Notamacropus eugenii: one gene and its partner. The protein of the gene in region 1 binds, or shares a complex with, the protein of each later gene. Links are inferred from orthologs where the notes say so. Each region holds a gene or a part of one and is shown on either strand. Other genes may lie near its edges. The genes, in order: STBD1 and GABARAPL1.

Region 1 (12,830 bases):
ACTGAGAACAAGGCTAGAACACTAAAGCTAAAGCTAGAAATAAGCCATTGCCTATATGCAACAAAGTAGGGGTAGGCAGCAAGAAGGACAGAGGTCACTGATTTCAGGCAAAGCACCCATCAGCCCGGTAGTCAAACAGGGCCAGATGTTGTCCAGCCAGTGGGGCAAAGAACAGCAAACAAGGACAGGGTTTGCAAACAGTGCTCATTCCTGCTAACGAGAGGTCAGAAGATGCACAGCCCCAAATAAAGAGCAATTAATGGCGAGTCATTCTTTGTTGCTTCATAAGCATTCAGAATAACAGTTAAGAGGTCAAGGCTGGAGAAAGACTGGATTTTGCTTTCAAAATTATTTGTGTAAGAACTTCAAAATGAAGGTTCTGCCTTATCAGCCATGTTTTCAATGGTCAATGTATTTTGTCAGCTGGGAGAAAAACATATCCCTTCAGCCTTACTGAAGGCGGTTTCCTTCTGTACTGTCGTTATGGTCATTCTAAAAGCTCAAACACCTTTTTGTAAGATTCTAAAATCACATATCAAGTTTTTTTGTTTTTTTGTTTGTTTTTCCTTGGGGGCTAAGATGGAGGTATGAGAATGCATAACTGGTTGGGTCCAATCTTTCTACCTCAGGTAAATCTGAGGAGAGAGAAAGAAAGGGAAAAAGCATGATTCCAACAAAATTAAAGTTTCCTAAAATATTAGGGTGACTTTCTTTTAAATTTTCAAAATTTTTCATCATTCATTTATTTTTTAAAAAACATTTAACAAAATATTGAGTTCCAGATTCTCTCCCTACCTCATCCACTGAGGAGACAAGTAGTATGATTTAGGGTGAAGTGCTAATTCAATTCATGACTAGCCTTTGGAAGCAGCTAAGTGCTAGGTATAACACCAGGTCCTGGAGATACACAACTAAAAATAAATTGATCCTTGTTCTCAAGGAGCATATATGGGGGGAGGGGAAGAAAGGAAGCAGTTATAATATGTCTATATATAGTATACATATAAGATATATATATATTTATGTACCTATATATGTATATGAAAATAGAAGAGGAAAGACACACTACCAGCTCAGAGAATCAATGAAGATCTCACAGAGAGGAAGCATCTGCACAATGAAGGAAAACAAGAGTTCTGAGTCAGAGATGGGAGGAGGGAGAACTCTAGGCTGGGGAGGCAGCCTGTGTAAATGAAAGGGGGCAGGAAGTGGAATATTGAATTCAGGGAATAGCAAATGGGCTAGTTTGGATGGGATATAGAGTTTGTAAGAGAGTAGTATAAAAATTAATTTAGAAATGGATCTGGAAACAGAGTGTGGAGTTAGCCCTCCACTTAAGACAAGCTAAAAAAGCATAGATTTTATGCTGTAGTCACTGGGGAGCAACTGAAGAGTTTTGAGTGACACCCTCAGATTGTGATTTACAATGGATCTTTTGGCAGAATGTGGACTGGAAGAGAGGCCAGAGGAGGCTGGCCCATAAGGGGGTTGTTGCAATAGTCCAGGAAAGAATTGATGGAGGTCAAAACCAGAGTGTTGGGTAGACATAAGAGCATCCTACAAGAAAAATTGGGGGGAGGAGTAGGGGGGATAGAATTGACAAAACTTGACAACTGATTGGCTTTGGGAGATTGAGAAGGTAAGGTAGGGAGAGAGAGAACAAAGGCAGGGGCTCTATGCTGAAGCCAGCTCTAACCACTGGGCTTGAGAGCTGATGGTTTTGTTTTCATTGTGAGCATTCACACATTAGAAATCAACAACCCCACAAGTCAGGGTTTGATCGTCTAGGCTTGAGAAAGTGCTAACAATGCAAATTAAATTTAGAAGTGTGTGCATATACATCCCCTTCCCTGCCCCCAACACCCAGCCTAGCTATTAAACATTTACTTTACACCTTTGTATTTGCTCTATAAACAGTTGCTTCAGCTCATGAGGAGCACTGTAGAAAACAGCAAAATGAGCTCATCATCAGATTGGAGACCAGTAATAGTATTATTAATATTAACATAGCACTTTAAGGGTTGCAAAGTGCTTTATGCTTATCATCTATTTGAACCTCTTAATACCTTTGAATAAAGGGGTCCATTTTAGATAAGGAATTATCTAGCAGGAAGTTGACTTATGCATATTGGAGCTCAAGAAAGAGATTAGGGCTGGAAGTGCATATTTGAGATTTCTTGTTTAGTCATTTTTAGTCCTATGTGACTGTGTCCTCATTTGAGATTTTCTTGGAATAATTTGCCATTTCCTTTCCCAGTTCATTTTATGAATGAGGAAACTGAGACAAAAAGGGTTCAGTGACTTGCTCAGGGTCACACAGCTAGTAAGTGTCTGAGGCCAGATTTAATGTCAGGTCTTCCTGATTCTAGGCTCAGTGCTCTGTGCACTGCACCACCTAGCTGTCCATGTATTTGGGATACATCTGCATAAAAATACCTGAACCTAGGGAATGGGTGAATGATGAAATTTCTAAGAGTACATATAGAGAAGAGAAAAGGGTCCAGGGCAGAGCCCTGGGCAATGACCAAGGTAAGAGGGCAAGAGATGAAAATAGAGTGAACAAGACAGAGAGAAGGAGCAGCAGAGGGAAGAACTAGGAGAGAGCAGTATTTTGGAAAGAAAGAGGAATGTGTCCAGAAGGATGGAGTAGTCAACAGTGGCAAAAGCTACAGAGAAGTCAATGATGAGGACTGAGAAAAGGTTATCAGATTTAGAAATCAAGAGATCATGACTAACTCTGGGGGCAATTTCAGTAGAATGGCTTACAAAGCCAGCTTGTAAAAGGAATTGACAAGGCAGTCGAAGGTAAAGAAACAGGGATATAAATTGTAGATGATTTGCTGAAGGATTTGGAAGTCAATGGCTAGAAAGACACAGAATCCTAGTTAGAGGATCTGGGATGGCATAAACCTGAGCATGTTTATGGGAAGTTTTCCTACTCTTTTTTGGGGGCTAAAGGCCAAGGTAATGGATGGAGTTGGCTTTCAAGTTCTATCTCTGACACACACTGACTGTGTGACTCAGGGCATGTCTAACCTCTCTATGCCCTAGGCAATTTTCCAGGACTATAAATTGCAGAGCAGTAGTGTATCGGTATTGGACAGAAGGAGTTTGCCTATACCAATGAAACCAAAGGTTCTGATGAAAAAATATCCACATAGGAACAGAAGAATTTAAAGTAACAGTGTAGAAAACCCTATAATTAAAATCAATCAAGCACATTCTGCAGATGAGCATCCCCTGTGGGACCCTGTCCCCAGTACCCTGCTTTCAGAATACAAAGGTATATTTGACCATAAAAATGGAATCCAAGAATAGTTCATCCACCAGTAGAGACGGCATCACTCACAAAATTTGCAACGGACAGAGGCTTAGACTTTATTTGATCTAAACCCCTCAGATCAAGATAGTGCCACCCAGAAAATGGAAGTGACATGTCCCTGGACACCAGATTTGTAGGTAAAACCTAGGTGTTCAAACCTAGGTGTCCTAACTGCAATCTCATTTCTCCCTGTCCACACTCCCATATCCCTTCTCTGACCTTCCCATCAAACAACCAGTTTCCAGACTGGGCTGTCTAGAGCAGTGATCGTTCACAACCTTTTTGGTCTCAGAATCCCTTTATAGTCTTAAAAATTATCAAAGACTCCTTTACATGCTTAAAAGTATTGGGGACCCAAAAAACTTTTCATTTTTGTGGGTTATAACTAGTGATCAATAGATTTACTGCATTAGGAATTAAAACTGATGATACATGTTTAAAATACTTATTAATTTAAAAAATAATAATAATAAATTCATTACATAAATGGCATCTTATAATATAAAATAGCATCTTATGTTAACATAAATAACATCTTTTAATGAAAAATAACTATTTTCTGCCATCCACATCCAGAGAAAGAACTGTGGAAACTGAATGCAGAATGAAGCAGACTCTTTTCTCTTGTGTTATGTTTTGTTTTGGTTTTTCTCATGGTTTCTCCCATTCATTTTGATTCTTTTATGCAATATGACTAATGTGAAAATGTGTTTAACAAGAATGTATGTGTAGAACCCATATAAGATTGCAAGTCATCTCAGGGAGGAAGGGGAGAGGGAGTGGGAGAAAATTGAAGACTTATGGAAGTAACTGTTGAAAACTGAAAACAAATTAATTTTTTTAAAAAAGACTCCATTTAAAAAAGGAAAAAAAAAGAAAAATATTTTCCTAAAAAATCAGTGAGGAAAAAATGGCAGTTTTACATATTCTTGCAAAAGTCTGGCTTAATAGAATGCAACTGGATTCTCATCTCTGTCTCTGCATGAATGTTCTATTTTGGTTGAATTTTATGAAGAAAATCCCAGGTCACGCATATACAGTTGTATAAAGGAATATTATTTTAATAACGTCTTAGTATTATTATTAAAATAGTTTTGACAACTAGGATTCCCTGAAAGAGTTTCGGACTGGGGTCGCGAGAACAAATGTTTGTTGAAATAAATAAGAAGTCTCTCTGAGCTAACTGCCACATGGCCAGGGGCGGGGGTGGGGAGGGGGAGTGTCTGCAGAACTCTAGAGGGGGACTGTCCAAGACTTTCCCGGGACGACCAAGCTCTTCTTTGCCACTCGCCTCCGTCCCAGATTTAGCTTGGATGGTTTTGCACCGCCTCCCTCCCCAAGTAGTCAAACCCAGAGAAGAGATAGCTTGGCTAGGGGTCCCAAACCCAATTCCCAGCCGCAAGGGATGGGGCGGGACCGTCCTTCGGGGTTTCTGGGTTCTTCTGCCCAGTTTGGGTAAGGGTGTGGGGTGCAGTGGTGACTGGGAAAAGAAAGCACGTGAAGCAGGTTCTGCTCAGCCTGAGCTCGGCCTCTCAGGGCCCAGGGTCCAGAAAGAGGGGAGGCATCCCACCACCACCCCACCTCTAATCAAGTAGCACCGGGAAAGGGGTGGCGGACCCTGATGAGCAAGGGGGAAAGTAGACTGTAAGATCTTAGATCCACCGTAGTCCCAGTCTCCAGCTATAGATGAAGAAACCCAGGCCTCCGGGCCTGAAGTCACTTGCCCAAAGTCGCAGAGGTAATAAGCGGCTGAGCCAATATTTGATTTCAGACCCTCTGCCTCTTCCCATTGGACCCCACTGCCTGTCAAGAATGGGAAGGTTGGGGCTTTTGGGCTTTTGACCTTTAGATCCCCGTCGATACACAAACCAGGCTGGCCCAGACGCAAGGTACCCAGGGAAAAATAGGGACTGAGTGCGGCAGGCAAAGTTAGGGGTGTGTCCACACCGCGCACCCCTCTTCCCACCCATCTCCGGCTTCCTTTGGGCTCCCTAAAGATTTGTCAACACCCAAATAAGCGGTGCGGGCAAGGGTACCCACGTACCTTCGGCTGTTTTCTTCACGTTCCAGTCGCCCCTCTGCTCCCGGAGTTGGGCCACCTGCTCATGTTTAGAGCAAAGGGGGTCCCCGCCATCTCCACCTCCGTCCCCCCTCGGGGCTACTGCGACTGCCTCCCCTGGCGACAACTCTCGCCCCTCCCCGGTCCCCGCATCCTGGTTCCCGGGATCTCCCCGCAGCAGCCAAACGAAGAGCGCACCGGCCAGACCTCCTCCCACCAGCAGCGCAGATATGACAGCGCCCATAGCTCCACACTAACGGCCCCGCTGGCTAAGCGCTGAGGGGGATGCCCTGAGCCCGGACGCCCGCGGGGACCGGGGACCCTGACGGGAGCGAGAGCGGGGCGGATCTTGCTCGCAGAGCGTCCCCACCCCAGCCTGCCTTTTATCTCAGCCCTGGTCCTTCCCTCCTGACTCCCCGCCCTAGCAGAAGCTCAACTTTCCCCTGTCCCGCCCCGCCCCATTGTCACCTCTCCAGGCCTCAGTCTCAGAAGCTGGCCACTGGAGGGAGAGGAGGACGGGGTGCAGGGGAGGGAGCAAGGAGGGGAGAAGGAATGAGGATGGGGAGGAGGAGTATCTGCCACTGCAGCCAAGTCTGACATTATCCTCCCCCACGTTCTCCTCCTACTGCCGTCCCTGACTCTTCCTCTGCACTTTACAAGGTCAAGTCAAGTTTTAAGAACCTTACTCCTCCCTACCTTCCCCTTTCCCAAATCGTTCCCCACTGCTCTTGCTTGGACTGGCTCCTCAGTCTTAGGTCCTAGTTCTAGCTCGCTGGACAGCACCCCAGCAAGAGCTGATCATGGGGCTGAAATCCAGGGTGCCTGTCTGCCTCTATGAAAGCCAATGTTCAGGGGTGATCTAGCATCTGTAGAAACCCAGTGACAAGAGCACTCCTTTGAAAGGAAATGAAGAGAAAATGAGCCCCAACTACCCTGCTTAGCACTTAACCTCTCTGAAACTCAGTTTCCTCATTTGTGAAAGGAAGGACTCAGAGTTTGGAAGCTGAATTATAGTAGGTGCATAGGGTTCTCCCTGATGTGTTTGTCATTTGGGGGAAGAGGATTAGCTCCAAATTATCGTGTCTATATCGTGTTTGCACATAGTTGGCTGCATGTTCTCTCCCTTATTACATTGTAAGCAGACTGTCTTTTACCTTTCTTTTTATGGCCAGGGTTTGGCAAACTGCCCAATACATAATAGGTGCTTCATAAATGCTTGTTGACTCTAATGGGAACATTTGAATGCTGGTGCCTTCCATCAGTTGGCTTTCTCCAGTTTATCCTGCATATTACTTTTACATGGCTATTTGTACGTTGTCTCCTCCTTTCAGCTGTAAGCTTCTGGATAACAGGTACTGGGTTTTGCCTTTTTTGTATCTTCACCTCTTAGCACAATGCCTGGCATACAGTAAGCTCTTAATGCTTCTTGATTTGTTGAGAAGGGAAATTCCCAGAAAAAAATCGACATGCCTCCTCCCGACAGAATGTAGTTCTTGAGGAGGAATCAAAGCATCATCTATTTAAGGGTGAAAAGGTACAGTTTCTTTTAAATTAGCAGCCCCTCCCCCTATTCACTGCCAACCGTAACTAGGATAGGGTGAATGTGCTTTGCACCAGTGCCCTGAAATTCAGTGGGAATTATTAGCCCTTACACTCTTTCAGTGTGGAAACGACTGAACTTAGTTGTGTTAAATAACTTAATTAAACAAAATAAAAGCTACGAGATGGCTTGCTTCTTTTTCTCTTTTGCCCCACTTGCATCTCAATTTCCTTTTATTATCCATCCCCGAGCACTGGACTCTTGAAATCCCAGGGGATTTGCCTACAGGGCCAGTTTCCTACTATGGGAAGGAGGCTATCTCTATCTCCCTCCCCCAAAGGAATACCTTTTAAAATGATTTGAGGGCATAATTTCCAATATCTCTGATGCTGGCAGGGATAATGAATCTCAAAAAGCGATGGATTTGGAGATGGATTAGGAGTTGGGTTCAAATCCTACCTGTACTTCTAAGTGACTTTGTTCAGTCCTTTTCACTGTCTGGACCTCAATTTCTTCATCTGTCAGAAGAGGGGATTGAACTAGATGGCCCTTTCCACCTCATACATGTTCCTACACTGCAATCCCCCCAGAGGAATATAAGCTCCTTGAGGGCAGGGATTGTTTTGTTATTGTTCTTTTATTATTCCTACTCTCTAAGACAGTGCTCAGCAAGTTCTGACAAATGGTTTAAATAGAATGAACTGAATTATGGTGGCAGGTTTTGTGGTACATGTAAGGGCAAGCAAAGTAGGATCTTTTGCTGTTTTTGTTTTAGTATAATCAAGAAGTATAATGCCTTTGATTGAATCTTGCCTTTATCAACCAAGAGTCCCAGGAGAAAAATACAGAAACAAGAGTTTCTGTGTACACACACAGAGAGATAGATATGTGTGTGTATGTATGTTTGTGTGTGCATGTGTGTGTAGATATATGTGTACATATATATATTTGTATTGTTAATGTGATTAAATATCTTTCCCACCCATTAATGGACCTGCCCATTAAGGAGGTTTTGATTAGGGGAGTTTTGTAGGAAGGCCCACGCTTTTTGTTAAAGAGGCACTGATGGTCAAGGATTGGGATGCCCTCTGACTCTAAAAAAGGTATAAATACTCTGAGGGTGAGATTTTACTTTGGGGTTTAGTTTTTGGAAGAAGGTTTGTATGCCAGATGAGACTCTGGGAAACCATTAAGCAGCCATCTCCTGCCACCCCCCTTTTGAAAACCCAGATGTTGGTGCTTCCCTCTCTGGTAACTATGGTCAGACAGTTGGACCTGTCTGTTGATTTGTGATATATGGATTGCTTACGTCAAACAGTTTTGAAGTGCTGTCTGTTGATTTCCTGAACTAAGTGAATGATGTATGTGTTTGATTAAAGGAGATTGTTAACCTCTCAAAAGTTGCCTTTCCTTTTATAAATGCAGATTTAAGAACCTGTGATAGCAGGCCCCCTGTGTATGTTGGGGAGCTTATTGATACAGTACATTATTCTCTGAGAAGATAAATATTTTCCTCTTGTGCTTTTAGTAAGTACACTTAACAGATGTCAATGGCACTAAGTCATCTACATTGGTAAATCTACAGCTTATTTCCTTCTTATAATCCACTAAATCCTATGTTTATGGGAAAGGAATTTCACAGATAGGTGTTCTATCCTCTCTTTCTCCTTCCCAGGAGTCCATTTAAGTTAAAATGCAAGACCACCAACACCTAGATCCCCTGGTTTCCCTGGTAAAGACTCTGTAAAGTTTAACAAGAAGGGTTAGCTTAAAATGCTAAAAAAGAAAAAAGAAAGAAAGAAAAAAGAAAAGAAAAGAAAAAGAAAAAAGGTAAAATATTGAAGAACCCCATGTCTATCATGGTCTAAATCTGATTATGCAACAACTCATTTCCTCTTCAATATACAAGAACTTTGTTTAGAAAAACACCTGAGAACTGATTTTGGCAAAGGTGCAGTGGGATACAGTGAGATTGCTCTGAGTTTGGAGCCTGATGATCTGGATTTGAATCCTGTCTGTAATACCTATTCCCTGAGTAACTCTGGGCAAGTCACATAACCTCTGTAGGTTTCAGTTTCCTTAGCTATAAAATGAGGGGGTTGTATCACATGGCTTCTAAGGTTGATGATCCCAATGCATGAACTATGAAGACAGTCACGGTGTTCCCCACCATTGAATCATAGATTCATAGATGGAGAGCCAGAAGGAGACTTAGAGGTCATTGAGTGTAATCATCACCGTGCTAGAGCCAACTCATGTTAACTTGGGAGAGCCAGTTGTTAAGTTTCCATCATGAGCATTACCCTTTGGAATCAGCAAACATTATAACTCAAGTCTTTCTTCTTTTGTTTGCTTGTTTTGTTGATTGTATAGACTTAAGAAAGTACAGGAGAAAATGTTCATGATGTTGGTCAGACTTAGGAGTGTGTGGTCCTACACTGTTGTTTTTTTTTACTGGAGTGTTAGTCATTAAATATTTACTAGCACACCCAAGTCCAACCCTGTCATTTTACAGCTGAGGAAACTGGGGCTGGCAGACTGGGTGACTTGCCAAACCTCAAGCAGGTGGGATTTGAATACAGATGCTTTGAGTCCAGCACTCTTCATCTTAAATCCCAAGAGGATATTGAAAAGCTGAATGAAATATCAGTAAAATGTTTAAAGAGAAAATGTCAAATGAATATTGAACATCTGTAGATGATCCTTCGTTTTAAAGGGAATATAACTTCATAGGGCAGCTAGATGGAACAGCGGATAGAGCACAGGGCCTAGAATCAGGAAAGTTGAGTTCAAATCTGGCCTTAGACACTTAGACACTTACTAGTTGTGTGACCCTGGGCAAGTCACTTGACCCTCTTTGCCTCAGTTTCCTCATCTGTCAAATGAGCTGGAAAAGGAAATGGCAAACCACTCCAGTATCTCTGACAAGAAAACCCCAAAGAGGTCATGAAGAATTGGACACAATGAAAACAACTGAATAGCAAGAATGCCAAATAACTTCAGTGAGCAAAACTGCAAGTGACAACATGTCCGCAATCTCCCTATAAAGTTTATGAGCTGTCAAAGTGCACAACATACAGTGATAGCAGTAGGGTTTTTACAGCAATGATTTCATTCTAGATTTAGAAGGGATCTGGGCTTAACCTGTCTAGTTCAACCCTCTCATCTTATAGATAAAGACAATGGGTTCCAAAGGGACCAAAGCTGGGATTTGAACCCAGGTTCCCTCACCCCCAAAACAAACACTTTTGCTCTCTCTCAGTGGGAACTTTTCTATTAGTCTTAAATATTATCAATAAGTGCTGATGATTTCATCACGCTGTGCTGAGGACTCTGCATTTGTGGAGTATGGGACAGAATATTTCTATAGATCCCCTTCCATTCTGACCTGCTAAGGTAAATGCTGTCTTTGGGACTCCATTGCAATTTCCCCTGACAACCATACATACACCCAAGCAATTGGCCAAGCTGCAGTCTCAAAGCTTAAGGGACAGAGCTGGTAACGATTAAATACTACTTTACATTCCCTTAATGATATCAATAGCTGACCCTTAGAGAGCTTTAAAGTCTGCAACACATTTAGGACATATCTTATTTAAGCCTCACAATGACCCAGGAAATAATTTTGCTGGGATTATTGTACCCATTTCACAGCTGAGGAAATCTGAGGCTGTGTGAGGTGACATGACTTGTCCAGGGTCACTTGCCTAGGAAGTGTTCCAGTTGAAACGTGAACCCAGGTCTTCCTGATTGCCAGCCTAGCTTTCTCACTACTTTGCCTTTCAATGAAAATCAATTACGAGGGCAAGTGGGAAATATAAGCCCCAAACAAGGATGATGGGTAGCAGAGGGTACAATGAGACAAAAATAGAAACATGCCACCATGGCAAATGTATATTTGGATGATAATGTGACTTTCCTGTTTCAGAAGATTCTACCCAATATGAAAATATCTGTTTTATTTTCAAGGAAAAACAAAAAGGTTCTACTGCTCTATTTTGTGCCATCAAAGATGGACTCAAGACCTGTGTAGATTTCTGTTAAACTATCCTTTTGGTTCTGTCAAAAAATATTTTTAAGTATATTTCTTGGGGAAATTTTCCCATAGCAAGCTCCAGTGGCTTGAGTTGTCTGGAGTATTAGGTTACACACAACCAGGCTCACTCGGAATTCCGATACTGATTAATTACCATGGCTAGGTCAGTTGTGTAGGAAATGACACCAGTCATTAAGAGGGTCAAAAATTAATAGGTCTGCTGTGTTTTGGGCTGTACCATTTTGCAAGATTTCACAAAAGGCTTGATTAATTAGTTAAATTTTTTATGTTGCCAAGTAAAAACTTAGAAGGAAAGAATGATAGATGCTCTAATCAATAAATTTAATTGATGCTTTTAAAAACAAAGGAGGAAAGAAAAAGAACAAAGGGCAAAATAATATTAAGGGTTTTGAATTTCAAAGAAAATGACAAATACTGGAGGGGAGGTGGAAATATTGGGATACTGATGCATTGTTGGTGGAGTTGTGAATTGATACAACTATTCTGGAGAGTAATTTGGAATCATGTCCAAAGGGCTATGAAACTATACATACCCTTTGACCCAGCAATACCACCACTAGTTCTGTATCCCAAAGAGATTAAAAAAAGGAAAAGGACCTCTATGTACAAAAATATTATAACAGCTCTTTTTGTGGTGCAAAGAATTGGAAATTGAGGGCATGTTCATCAACTGAGGAATGACTGAACCAAGTTGTGGTATATGAATTTGATGGAATACTATAAGAAATGATAAGCAGGGTGATTTCTCAAATGGCAAACCACTCCAGTATCTTTACCAAGAAAACTCCATGAACAGCTGTGGTCTATTGGGTCATAAAGAGTCAGACACAACTGAACGACTAAACAGCAAATAGGTTTCACCAGACTGCCAAGGGGATTCATGGTACAAAAATGGTTAAGAACCTACGGCATAAAGAATAAGTTGGGTTTGCCTAGGTTAAATATGATCATTGCCTCTTCCCTTTTCCCTTAGGCATGCCATTGTGTTAGTCCTTCGTTGCCAAAGAAGACCATGCCATCAGAGAAATCAGGACGTGACTTGCACTTGACTTTGTTTTGAGTGAGGGAGGGCTGTGCAGGTCACCAGCCTCACTTCTCCTCCAGTCATCTGAATCCAGAGACCTGATATTCCTCAGGATGACTGGAGATGACCCAGGATGCACTGGGAGACCTTGGGCCCTTTAGGCCAAGGTGTTTGCAGATACTCACTTAGGGTGAGGCAACACCCATTCATTGAATAGGCCTGTTTAAGAAGTAGCCAGGGCATGGCCCCTTTAATGAGGTCGAGAAAAAGAAAGATATCAGGTTGGGTGGGAAAGAGCAACAATTATTATTGATAATCACTCTCAAGCTAGAGGGGTCCAGAGAAGCCCTCAGGCAGGGCCTCAATGGAGTCCCAGTTTCAGAGTGCAGTAGGTTTAAGGTTTTGGGAGAGGACAGGACAAGGGATGGGACAGGGGACAGGACAGGAGAAAGGAAAGGAGGGGAGGGGAGGGGAGGAGAGGGAAGGGTAATAGGAAAGGAGCCAGTAAAACCCAAGTCAACAGGGCATCTTTTGGCCATCCAAGTTTACCTTCCTTTGGAGAGGAGAAGGAAGGGGAGGGGGAGGCAGACAGGAGAGGAGGTGAGTTACCCAGCTGCATTCAGCCAGCTGCACCTACTCATGGGATTGTGTTTGTCCTTCGTTGCTGAAGAAGACCATGCCATCAGAGAAATGATGACATGACTTGCATTTGACTTTGTCTGCCTCCTTCACATACTGGTTGTGTGACCCTGGGACAGTCACTTAGCTTCTCACTGCCTCAAGAAATTATCTATGGCAGGGATTCAGTCTGATAGACCCCTTCTCAGA
Region 2 (12,348 bases), on another chromosome or scaffold:
TGACATGCTTGAGAAAGAGTAAGAAGAATAGTTTGGCTGGATGGGAGAATACATGATGGCCCTCATCACCTCACACTTGGACTACTGATGTTGCCAGTTGGTTGGTGTCCCTCTCCCAAGTTTCTCCCCATTTCAATCCATCTTCCATTTACCTATTAAAGTGTGATTTTCCTAAATGGTGGGTCTGATAATATCATCCACATACTCAATAAATTCTACTGAATCTCTATCATTTCCCAAATGAAATATAAAACCCTCTGTTTTTCAAAGTCTTTCATAACTTGCTCTTACCCTCCACCTACTCTGCAATTCAGTTGACAGGGTGTCCTGATCCATTGCTGACTTTGGGCATTTTCACTGGCTATCCCTACTGGCCTTAAATTCTCTTCCTCATCTCTGCTTCCTGGCCTCTGGCTTCCTTCAGACCCCAGATAAAATCTCATCTACAGGAAGTCTTTTCTCATCCATCTTAATTTTTGCGCTTTCCCTCTCTTATTTCCAATTTATCCTGTATGTAGTTTATTATATATATAGCTATTTTAATGTATCTCTTACTAAATTAAGAGCTCCTTAAGAATAAGAACTTTTTTTATATCTGGTTGTTGTTTTTTGCCTTTCTCTGTATGCCATAGACATAGCACAACGCCTGGCAAAAAGTAGGCTGTTGCTGTGTTCATCCTTCATTTTCAAAGACGACCATGACATCAGAGAAATGATGACATGACTTGCACTGGACTTTGTTTTGAGTGAGGAAGGGCTGTTCAAGATCACCAGCCTCACGTTCTCCTCCTGAGCCACGTGGACCTGTGACCAGATACTCATCAAGATGACTAGAGATGGTCCAGGATGCAACGGGAGACCTTGACCTTTTTCTCCTAAGGCCTATTCAGGTACTTACTTAGAGTGAGGGGGTGCCCATTCAGTGAATAAGCCTCTTTCTCTTTAATCAGGGAATGGCCTCTTTAATGAGCAAAAGAAAAAAATATAAGTAAATCAAGCTGGGAGGGAAAGAGCAACAAAGTTTCTTAATTGTTTATATATAAACTGTTCTTGAGATTTGATTGACTCAGAAGACTAAGGCTTAGGCCACTGATGTAACTTCCTGGTCACCTAGGTACAAAATAGCCAGGACTCAAGGGTCTAAAGTCTCTTTCCCTGAGGTTGAGGACAATAGATCAGCATGATGAACAATATTAGGAAACTTTGTTCAGTTGAGTCATTCCCTTCCTCCCCGCAAGGCTGAGTAAACATTTTGTAAACATGGATTGTGAGTATCCAGTTTCACTCTGACTTCATATCTAAACTACTAAGGACCTTTGGGTGTTCAGAGAGGACTAGAACCCCAGGTGTGATGGCTGCCAAGTCATATGCAGGGCTGCTCAGCCACCTTTGAGGTCCACCTTCACCCAACTCTCACCTGTGACTCTAAGAAACTGTAGCATGTACAGCAGCCATACCCTGGTAAACCAACGGGGCAGATGGGCTAAACCATGTTGAGGGTAACCAACAGGCCTCAGACTTGTTGGTGAGTTAGAGAAATGTCTACCCCAAACATGTGGAGACTTTTCCTGGCAGAAAGAGTGGATGAGAACTATATGTTCCAATGGCCATGACAGCAGCTAAAGGGTGATATGGAGCTCTTAGAGTTTGGTCAGGCATTAAAGACACAAAGGTCATCTAGTGCATCCTGGACTGTTGCCAGTCATCTTGACCTTTGTCCTTCCACTGTACTTTGATTGTTGTTTGTCCATCATTCTTGAAGAGGACCATGACATCAGGAAGATGATGCCATGACTTGCAAAAGAATTGGATTTAAATGAGGAAGGGCTATGCAAGTTCACCAACCTCACCTTCTCTTCTGGAACCATCTGGGTCCGATGGCAAGATATAGATCAAGATGAATGAAGAAGGGTCCCCTCACCCTGGACTTTGATAATTTGGGGAGAGTGAGGCTGATGACTCAGTGCAACTCTGCCTCGATTATACAGCTCACATCCAAGTCAAGACATCACCCATGATTTCATTGGTCCTCTTCGAAGTCAAAGGATGAGCAACAACCAGGGACCCAGCCTGTGGTAGGCCTGCACTGTTAGTCTGTCTTCTGTATTGATAGTCTCTAAATCAATGCCCTCTGGTTGAAAGCCCAGAAGTCAAGAGTTACATTGATCATTTGAAATTCATTAAAGAGAAAATGTAGTCTTTGTTCAAGACGATAAAGGCACTGTGCTATATAGCTATAACTTCTCTAGTTTCTGTTGTTTTTTTAACCTATCAGACTTTACAATTATTTCTTCAGTTTCCAAACTGAGAGTTCATTTAACGCAATATGGATCAAAAACATGATATGATAGAAAAAAGTATCAAAGAAAAATATTAATACTGTACTATGTATTTTATTTTTTTCATATTTCATATTTTTTCCAGTTATATGTAAAAACAATTTTTAACATTCATCTTTTAAAAATCTGAGTTTCAAATTCTCTCCCTCCTTCTTTCTCTTCCTCCCTACTTCAGAAGGCAAGTAATTTGATATAGGTTGTACATGTGCTATCACACTAAACACATTTATGTAACAGTCATGTTGTAAGGGAAAATACAAACAAAAACAAAAAAAGTAAAGTAAAAAAAGTATTTTCAATCTGCATCCATCAGTTCTTTCTCCAGAGATGGACAGCATTTTTCATTACAAGTCCTTCAGAATTGCCTTGGATCAGTATTGCTAAGAATAGTTGTCATTCATAGTTGAGCATCATAATATTGCTGTTACTGTGTACAATTTTTTCCTGGTTCTGCTCATTTCATTTTGCATCAGTTCATGTAAATCTTTCCAGGTTTTTCTGAAAACATCCTGCTTATCATCTTTTATAGCACAATAGTATTTCACAATCATATACCACAACTTGTTCTGCCATTCTCCAACTGATGAGCATCCCCTTAATTTCCAATTTGTTGCTCCATAAAAAGAGCTGATATGATTTTTTTTTGCATTTAAATCCTTTTCCTTTTTGTTCTTCATCTCTTTGGGATGCAGACCTAGTAGTGGTATTGCTGGATCAAAGGATTTTATAGCCTTTTGGGCATAGCCCCAAATTGTTCTCCAGAATGGTTAAATCAGTTCTCAATTCTACCAACAATGCATTAGTGTCTCAATTTTCCCATATCCATTCCAACATGTTGTTTTCCTTTTTTGATAGGTGTGGAGCACCCCAGAGTTATTTCAATTTGCATTTCTGTAATCAATACAGATTTAGAGAATTTTTTTCATATGACTATAGATAGCTTTGATTACAGCCTCTGAAAACTGCCTATTCATATCCTTTGACCATTTATCAGTTGGGGAATGACTTGTATTCTTACAAATTTGCTTCACTTCTCTATACATTTGAGAAATGAGACCTTCATCAGAGACAACTGTAAAAAATTTTCAGTTATAATTACTGTGTATTTGCCTCCCCCACCCCCATTTACCATACTCTTTCTCTCCTTTCACTCTGCTCATCCTTGAAAGTGTTTTGCTTCAAGACTACTGCCTCCCCCAATCTGCTCTCCCTTCTATCAGCAGTACCTCACCCCCTTCTCTTATTCCCTTTCCCTCCTACTTTCCTGTAAGGTACAATAGATTTTTATACCCAGCTGAATGTGTATGTTATTCCCTCTTTCAGCCAATTCCAATGAAAGTAAGGTTAAAGCATTCCTCCCCATTTCCCCTATCTTCCTCTCCACTATAAAAGCTCCTTCTTACTTCTTTTTTTGAGGGAATATCCCCCCATTCTACCTCTCCCTTCCTCCTCCCAGTGCATTCTTTTTATTATCTTTTTATTTTATGTTTTTAGACATCATCTCATCTAAATTCATGCCCATGGCCTTTATGTACATTCCTTCTAATTGCCCCCAAAATGATAAAGTTCTTACGAGTTACAAGTATCATCTGCCCATGTAAGACTATAAACAGTTTAATCTTATTGAATCCCTTATGATTTCTCTTTTGCGTTTACCTTTTTATGTTTCTCTTGAGTCTTGTATTTAAAAGTCAAAATTTCTATTCAGCTCTAGTCTTTTTATCCTCTATTTCATTGAATACTCATTTTTCCTCCTGAAGGATTATAACTCCATGTTGCTCATAGTTTAATCTTGGCTCTAATTCTAGCTGCTTAGCCCTCCAGAATATCACATTCCAAGTTCTCTAATGTAATGTAATCTTCTGTTAGCCTGATTATGGCTCCACAATATTTGAATGGTTTCTTTCTGAGTGCTTGTAATATTTTCTCCTTGACCTGAGAGTTCTAGAATTTTGCTATGATATTTCTGGGAGTTTTCAATTTCATTTCATTTCACCTCTCAGGAGGTGATTCTATTTTACCCTTTGATTCTAGGATATTAGGGCAGTTTGATAATTTCTTGAAAGATGATGTCTAGGCTCTTTTTTTGATCATGGCTTTCAGTAACCCACCTTTGGGCAATGCAACAGAGTCCTTTACCCAATGCTAACAAAGGGATCTCTGTAATCTCCTTCTGACCTCCTTACCATCGGTGGGCTGAGAGCTCCAGAAGCCAAGTCCATTGCCCCCAGGTCTGTTGCTTCTTGCTGAGGGGTTCTGCCTTTGTTGGACTGATCTCCACTCTCATTCCAGTATACCAGACCTTTCCTGCTGACCTTTTAGGTTATCTTGGGCTAGAAAATTGTTTCACTCTATCTTTGTGGGTTCTGCCATTCAGAATTCATTCTGAGACATTATTTTACAGTTGTTTGAATGGGAATTTGGGAGAGGTCAGGCAGGTCTCTGCCTTTTTTCTACCATCTTGGCTCTACCCTCTCATTTCCATATATATTTTTATATATATTCAAATATTCTATTTATCTCTATATATACATATATATTTCTTCATATCTCTATATTTTCTGCATATATAGTATGTCAGGAATAATTTTATTTAACATTAAATACTAACAGTATACAAGTCATTTCTAAATTGAAGAGAGAAATATTCAAATTGGCATAGTTCCCCCACGTCCTTAAACAAGTCTCACTTCCCAGAAGAATTTAAGGAAACTTTTATAGGAATTTTGAACAAAGAAAATAAATTTTGGGTTAATATTCTATTTCAACAGATGGAACATAGTCAATTGATAACCACTTACATCTTTCTTTGACCACTCCCCTCAAGTATGTATAGTCCTATCCCATGACCTCCTCCCCAGATCCATATCATAATTCTTTTAAATGGATAATAGGGGCACTACCCTTAGGTGAATTACAGCCCAATTGCTTCTGAGGGTTGGGAAGCTCATAGGTAACCTCAATTAAAAGTTTGGTTTTCATTCTTAATCAATTACTTTTGAATAGGGAGAAGCTTAGAACGTTTTTTTAAGACAAGAGAAATATTTTTTCTTAATACAGTTGGTGAAACTGACAATAAGGCTTTTATGCTTCTACAAATGCTAATGTATTTCTGACTGTATTTAGAAATATACAATATCCATAAATAAAATGATGAACATGTTCTACTCTGCCACGATCAGATCACAACTACATCATTGTGTTCATTTTGGGGTGCCGCACTTGGGGAGGTATTATAAAAAGCTGAGAGTTTCAGAGAATGGTAACCAGGACTGTGAAGAGCTTAACATTCATGTGATGAATTAAATGAGTGAAAAAGGATTTAATAAACTTTGCATATGTCAAATATTGTTCTAGATATTTAAGAACATAAATATAATGAAGTACCTTAGTCCTACCCTCAAAGCGCTTAAGTTTGAGGAATGTTTCAGGATGGAAAAGTATTATTTCTTAATATTTTCAGGTGAGAAAAATATAATGGGAAGGTAGAAAGAGGGATGAGGTTAGATGCAGAGGTATAGTTTGGAAATGGCCAGAAAGTGGCATGATGGCCCGTTTTCTCGCAAAGTGAGTTAAAAGCTCGATACATGCCAATCTGCTGAGTGAACCTGTAATGGCTAACATGGAGATAAGGATGCTTGGCAAACATCATAGCTGTCTTTAGGTATCTGAAGATCTGTCACATGGTAGATGATTTGATTTGCCCTTTGGGGCAGAACTACAGGGAATGGGTAGGAGTTGTAATGCGGTAAACTTAGCCTTAATGTACAGAAAGACTTTCTAACAGAGATCACAAAGTGGAAGGGGTTGCTTTGGAATGAGTTGAAGAAAAATATTAATGACTATAATTTTGTTTTAGCCTCAAGTCTTTCAGAAAACAAATTTTATTCATTTAACATTATTCTAAATCCAGTCTATGCGTTAGAGAAAGAAATGACCAAATAAGTAAGCTCCCCAAACCCCATTCCTTTGGAAATCTGTCATCAGACAACTTGAGGTAACAGGAGTCTTGATTAAGGAAAAGGACACAAAAATATTAAAATACAATTTTGGTTTAGCATCCTACTGTATCAAATAGAACAATAGTCACTTAATAACAACCCATTTCCTTCCTTGACCCCTCAAGAGTTCTCCAGGAGTAAATAAAAGGAAACACCCTTTAATCAAAATCCTAATCCTTTCAAAATGGGAACACCAGTGATCTTAAACTGGCCAAGTCAATTTTTTTGTTGTCCTAAATTGGTTACCACATCTAATCCATTTACTAAGGCCTTAATTTGTAGGCTTCCCCTAAAAGGAAAAGTTTGAGAAGGGTTTTGGCTGGAAAATATTATTTTTTAATATTTTCAGCTGAACTAAAAAAAAGAGGTTTTTAATATGCTTCCACAGATGCAATCAGTTCCCTATCACTGGAGGTCCTTAGGCAGAGAGGCAGGATAACCACTTAATTGGATTTGTGGGAGGAATTCTTTCTGAGATACATGGTGAACTACATCAAAGGGACATTTCAACTCAGTTTCCAGTGATTTACAATTTTAGGAGTGATTGGCTTTTCAGAAAGTTTCTTCATAGGTCAGCTAAAGCAAGTCCTCGGTCCCCAAGCACCACTGAATCTGAAGGCAGAAAAACCCAGTTTGAATTAGAGGCCTACTAAACGCCATTTGACCTTGGCCAAGTCAATTAATTCTTCTTGGTCTCAGTTTCCTCATCAGTACCATAAAAATAATAATAACTGCACCATCTGCCTCCTAGATTGTTGTCAAGGGAACCATGCAAAGGAACATTTTAACCTAAAGCTATTTAAATCAAATCTTTTATTAGTCTAATGCTATGGAATTTTGTGATGCTGCGTTTATCCCCCTGGTTACCTCCTCTCCCCAATTCGGGCCGGTGGCTGCTGACAAGTCTCTTGGCAGACAGTAGTGGGTAAGGCCCAGTTCATCCTCATCACATGATTTCTGTTTTTCTTTCTTTCAGCAGTGAGGCCTTGCAACACTAGTGATTCTAAGAGGAGGGTGGGGAAAGGGCTGGAAACGAGGTTTGGAAGAGTCCACTAAAAGGGAAATTCTACTCCAGCACCTTAGCCTCTCTAAGCCAGGATTGCATTTTTCCTCATTCTCTATCCTTCTAAAGCCCTTAGTCACCTTGTTTATGTGGTTCCTCAGTCTAGTAATTTGCAGCTAACAAACAAAAACAATACATAGAAGTGCGCAGGCAGAATCCCTGGGTAAACTGAGAGGACCCTCAGAAGAAAGGCCGAGAGAACACTTAAAGATTTCTGTATCTGCCCCACACGTAGCAGGTCTTCCACTCCCACCTCCTCACCCCTCCACCCCTTACTTCACACCCCCAACCACAGCCAGCCACCCCAATGTGCTTAGAAAGGCTGGACTTTAATCTCTGGTAACTGCTCCTGGATTCAACCAAAAAAACCCCACGACGAAGTGGAGGGGGAGAAGTACGCATCTTTGGTACCTTGCCTTAAGACATTCCGTAACGAAAGAAACAAATAGCGTTTTAGACCATACGAGGTTTTGATTAAAAAGATTTGGTGAAGGATTTTTTTAAAAAGGAAAGTTAATATCGTGGGCTCATTTGAACAACATTTTCGTTGGCCCCCGGTTCGGAGTCAGCACCGGGACGGGTCTAGAACATTGTGAGGGAGGGAAGGGCGGAGCTTTGTGACGTCACAATACCAGGCTTGCTACTGTGTTGCCTGTGTGTTCCCGGCTCTTCCAAGAACGCTGCAGGATTTCCCCACCCCCACGCCGGCTCTTTCTCCACCTCCCAGCCCGGGCCAGCCGGGGCCTCAGTTCTGAGCGCTCTCCGCGGACTGGTGGAGCAGAGCGGGCAGGGCAGCAGAGGTTGGCACCGCTAAGGCTCTTCGTATTGTACTTCGACCGGGAAAAGACAGACTCGGCGAAACCATCCACTCCGCTTAAGCCAGGCCCCCCAGGGGAGATCGGAGACGCTGCGGAGCATCATGAAATTCCAATACAAGGAGGATCATCCTTTCGAGTACCGGAAAAAAGAAGGGGAGAAGATTCGGAAGAAATACCCTGACAGAGTCCCTGTGAGTGGTTTGGGGGCCTGGAGAAAGGGTGGGAGGAAAGGAAGAAGGAGGGGGAGGGGATGGGGACGCGACAGCTCTCTGACCTGAGGAGCAGGAAGGGTCCTTGGAAGACATTTCGTCTCCAATTCCCTAATAATGTAAACTGGATATCCCTACTGATGACATCCCGCACCCCACCGTTAGTAGCAGAGGCATAGGGGGCTTCTAAACTGAGCATCAGCAGAGAATGTGTGTTGTTGTGAGTCTGAGGAATGGGGGCAATGCACCATCACTGCCTTGATACGTGCGTGTTCGGAGATGAAGCCCAGTGACTCAGGAGTGCGCCAGGTGCGTTTGTGTAGGTGGTGCTTGTGTTCAAGATGCGGCGCTCTTGTGTGAGAATGGGTAGGATGGGGTCTTTTCTTGACTGCATGGAAGAACGCCAAGAGAAAGCTGTTGATCAGGGTGGCCACCATGGCGATGGCTCTGCGGCTTCGCCCTGTTTGTTTATGTCCTTTCAAGGGTTTATTCAGCTCTGGTTCCATCTTCGGGCTTCTAGACCTTTTGTCCTTGGAATTAATTGGGCGGGGGAAGAGAGACATGGGCTCCTTCCTCTCTTAAAAAAACACAAGACCGAACCGGCTTGGCAAACAGGGGCATAATATCTGCGCAGCAACCAGTTTGCTTCATCATCCTTGGCTTTAGAATTAACGCATGTTAGGGGGAGAACAGCTTTTTTCTGGTGACTGTTTTGCCTTTGACCAGACTGACTTGTCACAGAAAATGCAGGAGTTGGGGGTGGGGAGAGTTCTTCTTTCAGCTCTAATTTATCATATTTTCTGTCCCTAACACCCTGCTGCGCCACCCCCACCCCTTTCTCTGTGAGGGAACATGCTGCGCCTCTGTGAAAGTGGGACTGTTTGGATTTGGGGAAAAACAGGTTCATATGGAGGTAGGGTGGGGTAGAGGGAGCATAGACCATAGAGTTTGGGAGGTATGGGTGCAAAAACTAGAGGTATGGAGAGGAAACAAAAAGAATCAATGAAAAATGTTTTAGTGCTTTACCCAGGCCCTGCTCCCTGCAGAATAATTGAGGCCTTATTGATTGACATTACTGCTGCAAAATTTAGAAGTCAGTTAATCCAGGATGGAGATCTGGAAGTAAAGATAATGGGGATATGAGGCATTTATTTTTATAGCTTTTGAGTTCCTAATGTAACAGCTGAGACCTTCTTAAGACTGACGTTTCTCCAAGCAGACTAGTTGAGGTAGGTTTGGAAACAAGGTAGGCCATCTTGCCACATCTGGATCCAGTTATAGAATGTCAGTCACCCTCTCAAAGGAGACTAAGGAGGTCCCCTTTCCAGTCACCTCCCACATCTCCTGCAGGACTCACTGGTTAGTATTTGGTTAGAGGGAAAAGATGACTGAGTAAACAAGTTCTCTTCTTGACTTCTTTGAAGCATGTGACATTGACTGTCCATCCCTTTCTGGAATTTTGTGACACTATTTTTGGCTTTTGTTTTATTATTGATTCTCCTGCCTTATCCACTCTCCACTTATCCCCTCCTGCATGTCTCCTAACTTCTACACCATGCTCTTTAACTTCTCTATACATTCTCTTATGCTACTGGGGATACAAAGGCAAGTGATATAACCTTTGCCATCAAGGGAGACAACATAAATAAGTATACAAAATAAAATCAGTGGGGGGAATGACACTACCAGTTGTGGAAATCAGGAAATGCTTCCTATTGAAGGTGGAAATTCAGCAGAATTTTGAAGGAACATTTTATAAGACTGACCAGGTGAGATGGGAGTGCATTCCAGGCATGAGGGACAACCAATGCAATGACATGGATTTAGGAGACATAGTTTCTTGTGGGAGAAATAGCAGTTTGACTAGACTTTCCTTTAGCCTGTATCAAAGGAAGTCTTGATTTATTGATGACCTCAGTGGCCTCAGGCAAGTCATTTAGCCCTGTTTGCCTCAGTTTTCTCCTCTGTACAGTGAACTGAAGAAGGAAATGGCATACTGCTCCAGTATCTTTGCCAAGAAAACTCCAAATGGAGTCACAAAGAGTCGTACATGATTGAAAAAATGACTGAACACATGGTGACTCCCAGATCTCATAAAGTCTGAATCTCTCTTGATCTCCAGTTCTCCATCACAAACTGTACTGTCTCTTTGATATTTCAAACTAAATATGTCCAAAATGTCTTCCTTTGTCTTCCAAACCCACCCCTGTTCCTTCCAAATTTCTCCCAATCTAAAGGACGCCATCTTTTCAGCTATTTTATTGTTGTTCAATCTCATCTGACTCTTTCCCTGACCCCATTTGGGATTTTCTGGGCAGAAATACTGAATTGGTTTGCCATTTCCTTCTTGGAGGAAACTGAGTCAAACAGGGTTAAAGTAACTTGCCTGGGGTCACACAACTAACTATTGGTGTCTTAGGCCTGATTTGAACTCAGAAAGGGTGAGTCTTCCTAACTCTAAGCCCAGTACAGTTGCTATCCAACTACCCATCTTTTTAGTCAACCCAGGTTCATAACCTTGAATCTTCCCCTTTCCCTCACCCCCCTATCCATTCTGTCATTATCTTTCATGCTTATTGGCCTTCTACAATACCTTTTTCATCTGCCATCTCTCCATCCTAGTTCGTAACAGTATCAGCTCTTGCCTGGATTTGAATAGCCTTGAAATTGGTCTTCCTACCTCTAGTTTCTCTTCACTTCACACTGGAATCCAAGTGATTTTTTTTTAAAGTTTGGATCATGTCATTTCAGTCACTCTGGTGGTTCCTATTATAACTCCAGAATCATATCCATGGATGGGGAACCTGTGGCCTCCAGGTCACATGTGGCTTTCTAGGTCCTCAAATGTTGTGCTTTGACTGAATCCAAACTTCACAAAACAGATCCCCTAAATAAAAGGATCTGTTCTGTAAAACTTGGACTATGTCAAAAGGACGCATCCAAGGACTTACAGGGCCTCAGGTACCACACCCCTGATATATCTTAAATAACAACTTTGCCGAAATCGACCTTTCCAGCATTATTATACAGTACTCCCCTTCCGATATGCTAGTCTAGTCAGACTTACTTCCTTACACATAATTCCATTTATTTACCTTCTGCTTTGTTTACTGGTCGTCCCCATTGCCAGACCTCTTTGGCTCCAAGGTCATGCATAAGGGCCAAATTTTAAATGAGGCCTTTTCCAGTCCCCCCCAGCTGTTAGCAGTGTTAAACCCCTTGCCATCATCTTGTATCTATTTTTGTGCGCACGTGCATGCACACACACACACACACACACACATACGTATACACACATATATACACACACATGGTCTCCCTTCCTCCTTCCTCCCCCCTCCCTCCCTCTCCCCCCAATAGTAGGTAAGCTCCCTGAGGGGCAGTGTCTTGTTTTAACTTTTCTTTTGCTATTCCCAATGTTGAACCCAATGCCTTCACACTTACTAGGCCCTAAGTACATGCTCCTGAAATTGATTGATTAATCATTTTGCCCTCTCTGCCTTAAGCTGATATAATAGAGTACTCATTCAGGTTTTCAGGACTCACCTAATCAGTGTTGGACTTCATAGTTTGTTATCTCTCAAAAGAAAGGGTTGGGCTGGGTGACCTAAGGGCCTTTCTAGCTTTAAACTTATGAATCCCCTCATTTTACTGATGAGGAAACTGAGGCTCCAGGAGCATTAGGTGACTTGCTCATGGTCACAGTTATAGCGCATAGTCCCCAAGTCCTGATTAAAGTCTGATTTTTCTACTGTTAATAAGTGGCCTCACTTATTAGTCCTGTAATTTGGAGCAAATTCTCCCTGAAGACTTTCCTCATTGGTAAAAATAGAATAAAATTGGTTAGTCCCTTGATTTGTTAGGCTCTATACTTTCTTCAGTTTGGAGACCTTCATCTTTCGATGTTATGTCTGTGAC

Evidence for each region.
Region 2: the proteins of STBD1 (region 1) and GABARAPL1 are in contact, whole or in part, in a crystal structure (PDB 8X8A), measured with the Homo sapiens proteins. The link is inferred for Notamacropus eugenii from reciprocal best matches to the Homo sapiens genes STBD1 and GABARAPL1. Residues at the interface, in NP_003934.1 of Homo sapiens: Glu201, Glu202, Trp203, Glu204, Met205, Val206, Pro207, Arg208, His209, Ser210, Gly213; in NP_113600.1 of Homo sapiens: Glu17, Ile21, Tyr25, Asp27, Arg28, Pro30, Val31, Ile32, Lys46, Lys48, Tyr49, Leu50, Val51, Pro52, Asp54, Leu55, Gly58, Gln59, Phe62, Leu63, Arg67, Phe104.

Annotation. Positions count from the first base shown.
Region 1 is NC_092878.1:150,995,419-151,008,248, forward strand, and holds the start of STBD1 (starch-binding domain-containing protein 1), read right to left. Parts: upstream 5,801-12,830; 5' UTR 5,626-5,800; coding exon 5,367-5,625; intron 1-5,366. UniProt on the Homo sapiens protein: Acts as a cargo receptor for glycogen. Delivers its cargo to an autophagic pathway called glycophagy, resulting in the transport of glycogen to lysosomes.
Region 2 is NC_092874.1:200,018,600-200,030,947, reverse strand, and holds the start of GABARAPL1 (gamma-aminobutyric acid receptor-associated protein-like 1), read left to right. Parts: upstream 1-7,630; 5' UTR 7,631-8,322; coding exon 8,323-8,412; intron 8,413-12,348. UniProt on the Homo sapiens protein: Ubiquitin-like modifier that increases cell-surface expression of kappa-type opioid receptor through facilitating anterograde intracellular trafficking of the receptor. Involved in formation of autophagosomal vacuoles.